Linked DNA regions of Bombyx mori. The protein of the gene in region 1 interacts with the protein of each later gene in a pairwise test. Links are inferred from orthologs where the notes say so. Each region holds a gene or a part of one and is shown in the gene's direction. Other genes may lie near its edges. The genes, in order: histone acetyltransferase Tip60 and RING finger and CHY zinc finger domain-containing protein 1.

Region 1 (4,419 bases):
AATGAAAGTTTTGAGTTCATCGTCTAAAGGATTTATCGCTCGGTACATGTGGTTATGAAGGTATTTGGTCAGGGTGATCATTGAGTTCCAGTAGATCCAAACACAGACTATAAAGAATGTGGACAGTTCTGCTCCTAACATTTTACCCGCAGTCTTCAGTCTACTCGTGATCAAGGCGCTTGCAACAGGACATACCTATCGGGAACTCATTAGGTAAATGTTCATTCTTGGTAAGAACACGTTAAATAATAATGTGTATAAAACAAGGTTAGTTTTTCCTTTGAAGTTAACTGAGTTAGCCTACGATCTCGACAGGGCTACCCAATCCACGGGCTACGGCTCACAGCCCAGCTAAACGTGCTTATTCCCACCTCTCCTGGCTGAACCTTTGCTCGCCCACGTGTCCTGGTGAAACTGGATAGACTTCCAACAGCTATTTCTCAAACATAAAAAAACGATTTTTGTTATTGGTGTCTATGGAGCGAGGAGTTAATGGAGCGAAAAGTCTATCTATAACTTATCCAAAGTTGCTCTCGACAACATCTTCAGAACAAAATAAAATAAAATTTGCTTCTAACACATGTTCATAAGCAACTTCTGCGTTAAAAGAATGACAACGTGTAAAAAATTAAATGGAACCCGCGAAAAGTTTACAAATGTAATTATTTCCTCTAGCGGGGTTCACCACAGACTGCTAGACAAAATTATTAGGGTTTTAATACTGCCTAGTAGAAAGCCTAGACTTTCTCCACGTGCCCATGTCGCCAATGACAACATCTATAAGCCATTCGAGACACTCTGATCTTCGATCACGCGATTGAAGGGTTCCATTACTCTATGGCTTAATTTCTATCTTATTCGTGTGTATTAAGATTTTTTGAGAATCAAATAAGATTTGATTCTCAAAAAATCATGTAATCCAGTTTTAGCGCACGAGGAAATTAACAAAACCTGCTTTTACTCAACAACCCAACGGCGCATCTCTTCTCGGTGCCTCACATCACGGCTCATCAGTTTGACGTTTGTCAAGACGACCAGCGGTTCTCTAATCCCTCCCGCTTGGATAGGGCCGTTAATACTCCCGAGATACTCCGCTAGGTCAAAACCAGCAAAACAGAATCACTTCTTTTACACAATGAGTAGTTCAACCTTTTGAGCCGAATGCGATACAAATGATCCAAAGCAAAGTAAGGAATTAGTGAATTGATATAATTTCATTTCGTTCCATTACACTTTTTACATTGCTATTATATATTTGTGTTCCGGTAACTATTTGAGACAAGGTAAGCTGTGACTCACGAGCACATTCGCCCATATATGCATTACGAAATAGCTAAAAAAACATATCAATGATTGGTATCTGCAGATTTACGTAAGCGCTAAATAATACATAATCGGTAGACGCTTGAACTCTCAATATTTATTACATTTCAATTTTCGTTACCTACTAGACTAATCACTTATGAATAATATTCCCTTTGCCTATTTAATGTCAGATTGACTGCAATCTGATTACTTTGATATTGACAGCAATGACAGCTAAGCATTCAAAGCAAATAGCTATTTTTGTGAAAAAATAATATTATTATTTTAAAATGAACGAAAATGATGATGAATTGACAACATTTTGTGATTCAACGGTGATTTCCGCTTATTTAGAATATATATGTGATATAATACCGTGAGATTAATTTATCATCTTTTTGTTTTAGTCATCGCTTGTTGAGGGATGCCGTCTTCCTGTTCGTATGCAAGGAGGAGACGACTGGCCACTCGCCGAAATTATAAGTATTAAAGAAGTTCAGGGCCAAAGAGGATTTTACGTGCATTATGTTGATTGTGAGTAAATAATGAACGGGTATGTTTGTTATTCATTTTGGAAAAATTGTGTGTAACATTGATAAGAAATTGACTGTGATGCTAGATTAGCAGCTAATTACCTATATCTATAAGCTTTAGTTTTGTTATATATATGGGAAATTTCTAAAATAAAGCTACTTACCTATGTTGAGACATTTTATAAATTTATAACTAATGTGAGCTTGTTATCATATGTGTAATTGATAAACAATCTAGTAGATTGAACTTAAAGGATACTTAAAAATGTTCTACAAAGGCACATGTCTAATTGAGATCTTAATTTAAAAAACCAAAGGGTGGTAAATGGACTAAAATCCAATTTAGTAGCAGAAAAAGCAAAGAACACTTGTGATAGGGTGTCTTGTAAGCTTGCATACGTATGTACTAACAGAATAAAAAGATTTTCTCCTGTTTTTCATGAAGTGCTTAATTTTTTTGAAATTAGACTTAAACATAAAAAATTTTTCAGTTAATAAACGTCTCGATGAATGGGTGGGTGAATCTTGGTTGGACACTCGTAAAGTCCAATTCCCTCGACGGGATGGAACAGCAACAGGTGGTACAACTACTCCAAAGAAAACACTCATTGGATCAGGAGGTGGCGTTATGCCTACTTTTATTAGTATGTGTCTTTGTTTTTAGAGCTTAATTAATTGTTATGGTCATTTCACTTAATTTTAAACAATTCAAAGTTCAACTTCACAGATAAAGAATGGGATTTGGTAATAAATTGCATGATTTATATTACTCTACTATTACTCTCTACTATTACTTGCTATTTTTCCTCCACCCGACAGTTCATGTTGGACTGGATAAAAGCAGTAAAACAAATAGAGTCCAAACTTTAATGTGTTATAATTCTAGCTTTAGTTGATGTTGTCTTGAATGCTATAATTAATATAGTAGAATATATTTGTACTTTTATTTTGTTACTGTATGATTCTTTGTTTTGCCCAGTACAATGTCTCGTGCCAAGTGTAGGTTAGTTTGTGTTACCAAACATCCATGATCAACCAATTGGCAATAAAAACAAAATTTTGTCTGCAGATGACACAGTCTGCAATGAGAATCAGAAGTCTAGTAATGCTAGAACTATAACAAATCAACTGACCCAACCCAAAACACATGAAAAGGCCCATTTTAGCAATGCACTCAATGGTTCCGCACAAAAAAATGCACTTGGTAATGTACCATAATAATTTATTTTGTGTAATATGCTTTTATTTAGGTAGATATGTCATGCTTTTATTCTTAAAACAATAAATTTATTTTTTGTACTTTTAAACAGTAGCAGTAGTAGCTACTGGTATGTATAATGTGAGCATCATTGATGTTATTCCAAATGATTGTTTAGTTACCAACATATTATTCAACATGTCAACAGCTTAGTAGCCATCAAGTTGTAAGCTTAGAAATAATAATAGTTTCTTGTTCCCTTATAAGCACGTTTGAAGCTCAGTTGTGAGAACCAGTAATACCATAGTCCATATATTGAATATGAATATTTTCTGTCATGGTAATATTTGATTAACATATAATGATCATGTTAGTAATTATTACCAATTAATGTGACAACTAAGCAATTTAGTATTTTCTTCGGTTTTCGCCAGTCGTAAATATAATTAAGGCTACTTTTATACCTTAATGTCTTAACTGTGTATGACGAGTCATCCGTGACATAGAAAACAGTAAATTATTCATAACTACAGTAAAAAACGACAGATTATACTTTAAAAATAGCAATTATAATGAAGCAATTGTTTAATTTTGGCGTTTATTTATTGAAAGAAATATTGTAATTCTATTGACGTGAAGCCCTATTAATGTGAAATGCTGCAGTATTGTGTCAAATCACTCTTAATTTAAAATACTACATTCCCGGTTTTCTGCACAGCTGTGGTTGAACCAAGACAGTTGGTGTCCCGACCCGCCAGTCCGACTCTGGTAAATGATTCTTCGTCACTGGTCAATGGAGGAGCTGTCCTCGCAGCAGCCTTACAGAAAAAGATGAACAGAAAACGCAAACCGCCCTCTTTGGATAATGACGTAAAATATCAATATTAATATTTTTTATTTATTTATTGCTTAGATGGGTGGACGAGCTCACAGCCCACCTGGTGTTAAGTGGTTACTGAAGCCAATAGACATCTACAACGTAAATGCGCCACCCACCTTGAAATATAAGTTCTAAGATCTCAGTATAGTTACAATGGCTGCACCACCCTACAAATTATAATTTTGCGGGTTTCACTTTTATTACACGATGTTATTCCTCCATCGTGGAAGTCAATCGTGAACATTTGTTGAGTACGAATTATCATCAGAAAAATTGGTACCCGCCTGCGGGATTCGAACACAGGTGCATCGCTCAACACGAATGCACCGGACGTCTTATAACCTTTAGGCCACGACGACTTCTTTGTCTATGTCTAGTCGTTGTAGGTCTTATGTCCTGTCAAAGAGGTTGCACGCCACGACACTATCAGAGGTAATGTTTGTCTCATATAGGTCAGTTTACATTCGGAGCCGTCACAAGAAGGTGAAGCGGACGCGACGGCC
Region 2 (3,534 bases), on another chromosome or scaffold:
ACTAATCTGAGTGCAGTAATCCTCCAAAAATCCATTAACAGTGCTTTTAGGTCCCACAAGCACCAATCACCGCCCTCGCCGAACCCGTCTTGCGACGAAGGGCTCGACGAGCGAATTAACCCATAGACACAGCCCAGTGAGTTTCTCGCCGGATCTTCTCAGTGGGTCGCGTTTCCGATCTGGCGGTAGATTCTGCGAAGCACAGCTCTTGCAAGGGTCAGTGTCAGCAACACTCCAGTTTGAGCCCCATGACCTCACCTACATGTTAGCAAAGCTGAAATAACCTCTTAAGGCTATCAGTATAGGTAAGAAAAAAAAAGCAGTAGTCCCTAAAGTATTTGTCTGATATTCATTCTGATGTAATGACAGGATTGTCAAAACAAAATTTAGATGTTTAAAATTGGCTGTCTCTCTATAGCAAGGACTCCCAAACTTATTTTGTCTACTGCCCACTTTGAGAATAAATTATTTTTTGGCGCCCCCATTTTTTCACCTACTTAAAAACGAAAAAATACTTTATCTGTCAGCACTCATCATCAAGTGGGCCGTGTGCTCGTCTGCCTACAAATAATTACGTTTCCCGCGTCCATATTCCATACTATACAGGCTCTCTGCTTATAACCGAAGTTACAAGACACGCCCCCAAAAAATATGTGTTTTTTATAACAACATTTTTACAACACATCAATACATAGATCCTATTAGTGCCTTAAGTCCTTTCTATTAATAATACGAGCGCGATTCAGAAAATGAGCAACGCCATCTATTGATAATATTATTAAAACGGTTGCATGTATTTTGGGCGCGCATTTCTCTACACATCCCTATCCCTACTAATATATAAATGTGAATGTAAGTTTGTTTGTTACGCTTTTACGCGAAAACTACTCAACCGATCATCATGAAACTTTGTACACATATTCTTGGAGGTATTAGAAGTAACATAGGATACTTTTTATTAAGATAAATTAAAAAATTGTTTGTCAAAAAATCTGAAAATCTAACTTCTTCAACGCCACCTACAAAAATTTTATATTTACTCAGTACTAAGTACTAATAAACGAAGTTTTATCATTTAAAATTCAGATTATTAGTAATATTCTCATTCTTTATAAATCTGCTTTAAAATATAGAATATCGTAGCTATCCGAACAAAGTTATTTCAGCTTCTCAAACCGGAAATGTTGCTAACACTGGCCCAAGCAAGAGCAGTACTTCGATGGATCAGTAGGATCCGTAATGACGTATTTAGGGCCGATTTTTGTAGTTTACCTGAATATTTGACAGACTTAGATTTAGCTGCCTTTGATTTTATAAGCCTCACTTCTTCTCTATATTCTCTATAAGTGTGGAAAATTTCATATTCCTCCGTCCGCGCAATTTTCGTAAAAAGGGATACAAAGTTTTTGCTTCACGTATTAATATATAGATTATAATATCTTGCACTGCACCAAAATTCGTATGTCAAATAATGACCAAGCATACACGTTGCTTTTAACTTATGTAATAACTCATTTTCTATATGCTTAGCGAATAAATGTTTTCTTTCTTTCTTTTTTTCATTCTTTCTTTACTATGTCCCGCAGTGCGTAGAGAACGTGTCCCGTTCGAACTGCCCCGTGTGCCTGGAGGACATCCACACGTCCCGCATCCCGTGCCACATCCCGGACTGCGGCCACCTGCTGCACCGGCCCTGCTTCGAGCAGCTGCTGCACTCCGGCCACTACGCGTGCCCCACGTGCCAGACGAGCATGATCGACATGTCGAATGTGAGTTTCATCCGGGTCTAGTCGGTGTCAGTCCTCTTGTCTATTGTCCTGAAGCTCCAGCTAATGGCAATGTCATTAAACTAAAGGCTCTTTGATCTCTCTGTCTCTCTCTTCGTGTAGGTGAATGTTGGTAGGACACATGCTACTTGCCATATGCATCAATGTTGAATGTGTGACTAGTGTCCCCGATGCCAACAATTTTACATTCTAAATTATTAAGGATGGATGTTGGGAAATAATCATCTTATTATTATAGAATAGGGATCGCAGCGCATAAAATAAAATTTCTACTGTCCCAAAATCTTGTGTTATAATAATAATTAAAAATTAATTAACACTTATTATGTCTTCGCCATCTTCCTTTTTCTCTGTTATTCTGTGTGTCATTCTCTTTTCCCTTTCTTTCCGTTTTCTCTCACTTAAATCACATCTTAACGCTCCGTTCCACGCTCTTTTCATACGTTCCGTTCTTAATAATCCTACATTATTATTAGCATGTCCGGATAGGTATCAGGCGCTCTAAGAAAGTACTTAAGGTGAAGTTGTTTTGTTGCAGCTCTGGAATTATCTGGATTCCGAAGTAGCGGCCACACCGATGCCGTCCGAATACGCCGACTACAAGGCCACGATACTGTGCAAGGATTGTCATAAGGTGATAAATAGTATGATATGGAATAAGGCCTGAGGCCTGGAAGAATTAAAGTCAAAGAATCTTTAACCCGTCACAGTAATTAAATTTCTTTGAAAGGTTAATGTAGGTTTAGTCCTTTTTTTTAATAATACTACTAGCAGACAGAAGAAAAAAGGATTTAAAAAATTAATGCAGGCTTATAAAAAAAATTACAGTCTGAATTCCTAATATCACCCTGTGACAGCAGCGCGTATTGTGAGAAAGAGAGAGAGAGTATTATTTATTGTACGCCAAAAAACAAATAAACAGTGCGATACATTAAACACAAAAAAAGTACAATTGGCGATCTTCTCTTCCAGACAACCATCATTGTGCTTAATGCTAGTTTTTTCAACTTCTCGATCGCGTAAAAGCTAACTCAAATTTGTATGGAGTTGGAACAGCGCCTCTAGCGGCAAACGAAGCACTAAGCACACTGAATGTAACGCGTCATAGTTCCATTTCTCCAACATGAAAGACGAAAGTATCGCACCGTACAGCCTAATTTTTTGTACATTCTATTAAATGATACATGATACGTAACATGGAGCCAAAAATAATAGAAATGAAATGAGGTGAAGTTGATTTATTTGAGACTGATCAAAAAAATCTTCTTCAAACGAGGCTTGCGGAGAGTACTTAATTGTAGGCAGCGGCTTGGCTCTGCCCCTGACATTGCTGACGTCCATGAGCGACGGTGACCACTTACCATCAGGCTGTATGACCGTCTGCCTACAAAGGCAATAAAAAAGGGATTGAATTAAATGAAACAAGATGAGATTGGGTGAAATAAAGTCTCACTAATATGGTGGTTATTTACTGAGAATTCAGTGATATTTTAGCAAGAACCCGAGAAGTTACGTCCAGCTACTTTCAATGACCCACGACGATTAATAAGCTGACGTTGTTACACGATATTAATCCAAAAAATAACACTAAATTAACAAAACAAATCAATTCGTACAATTTAGCTCCGAACATTCTCGCCACAGATACTACAATTTTTATACTAATATTGATGTTTTGACATTCCAGCTGTCAACGGTGAAGTTTCACGTCGTAGGACTGAAATGTCAACATTGCGGAGCCTACAAC

Evidence for each region.
Region 2: the proteins of histone acetyltransferase Tip60 (region 1) and RING finger and CHY zinc finger domain-containing protein 1 interact in a two-hybrid assay, tested with the Homo sapiens proteins (2 studies listed by BioGRID). The link is inferred for Bombyx mori from reciprocal best matches to the Homo sapiens genes KAT5 and RCHY1.

The regions. Positions count from the first base shown.
Region 1 is NC_085124.1:9,217,258-9,221,676, forward strand, and holds the start of histone acetyltransferase Tip60, read left to right. Parts: upstream 1-1,507; 5' UTR 1,508-1,595; coding exon 1,596-1,640; intron 1,641-1,712; coding exon 1,713-1,839; intron 1,840-2,329; coding exon 2,330-2,482; intron 2,483-2,907; coding exon 2,908-3,042; intron 3,043-3,754; coding exon 3,755-3,906; intron 3,907-4,368; coding exon 4,369-4,419. UniProt on the Homo sapiens protein: Catalytic subunit of the NuA4 histone acetyltransferase complex, a multiprotein complex involved in transcriptional activation of select genes principally by acetylation of nucleosomal histones H2A and H4.
Region 2 is NC_085125.1:12,756,917-12,760,450, forward strand, and holds part of RING finger and CHY zinc finger domain-containing protein 1, read left to right. Parts: intron 1-1,586; coding exon 1,587-1,769; intron 1,770-2,325; coding exon 2,326-2,421; intron 2,422-3,474; coding exon 3,475-3,534. UniProt on the Homo sapiens protein: E3 ubiquitin-protein ligase that mediates ubiquitination of target proteins, including p53/TP53, TP73, HDAC1 and CDKN1B. Mediates ubiquitination and degradation of p53/TP53; preferentially acts on tetrameric p53/TP53.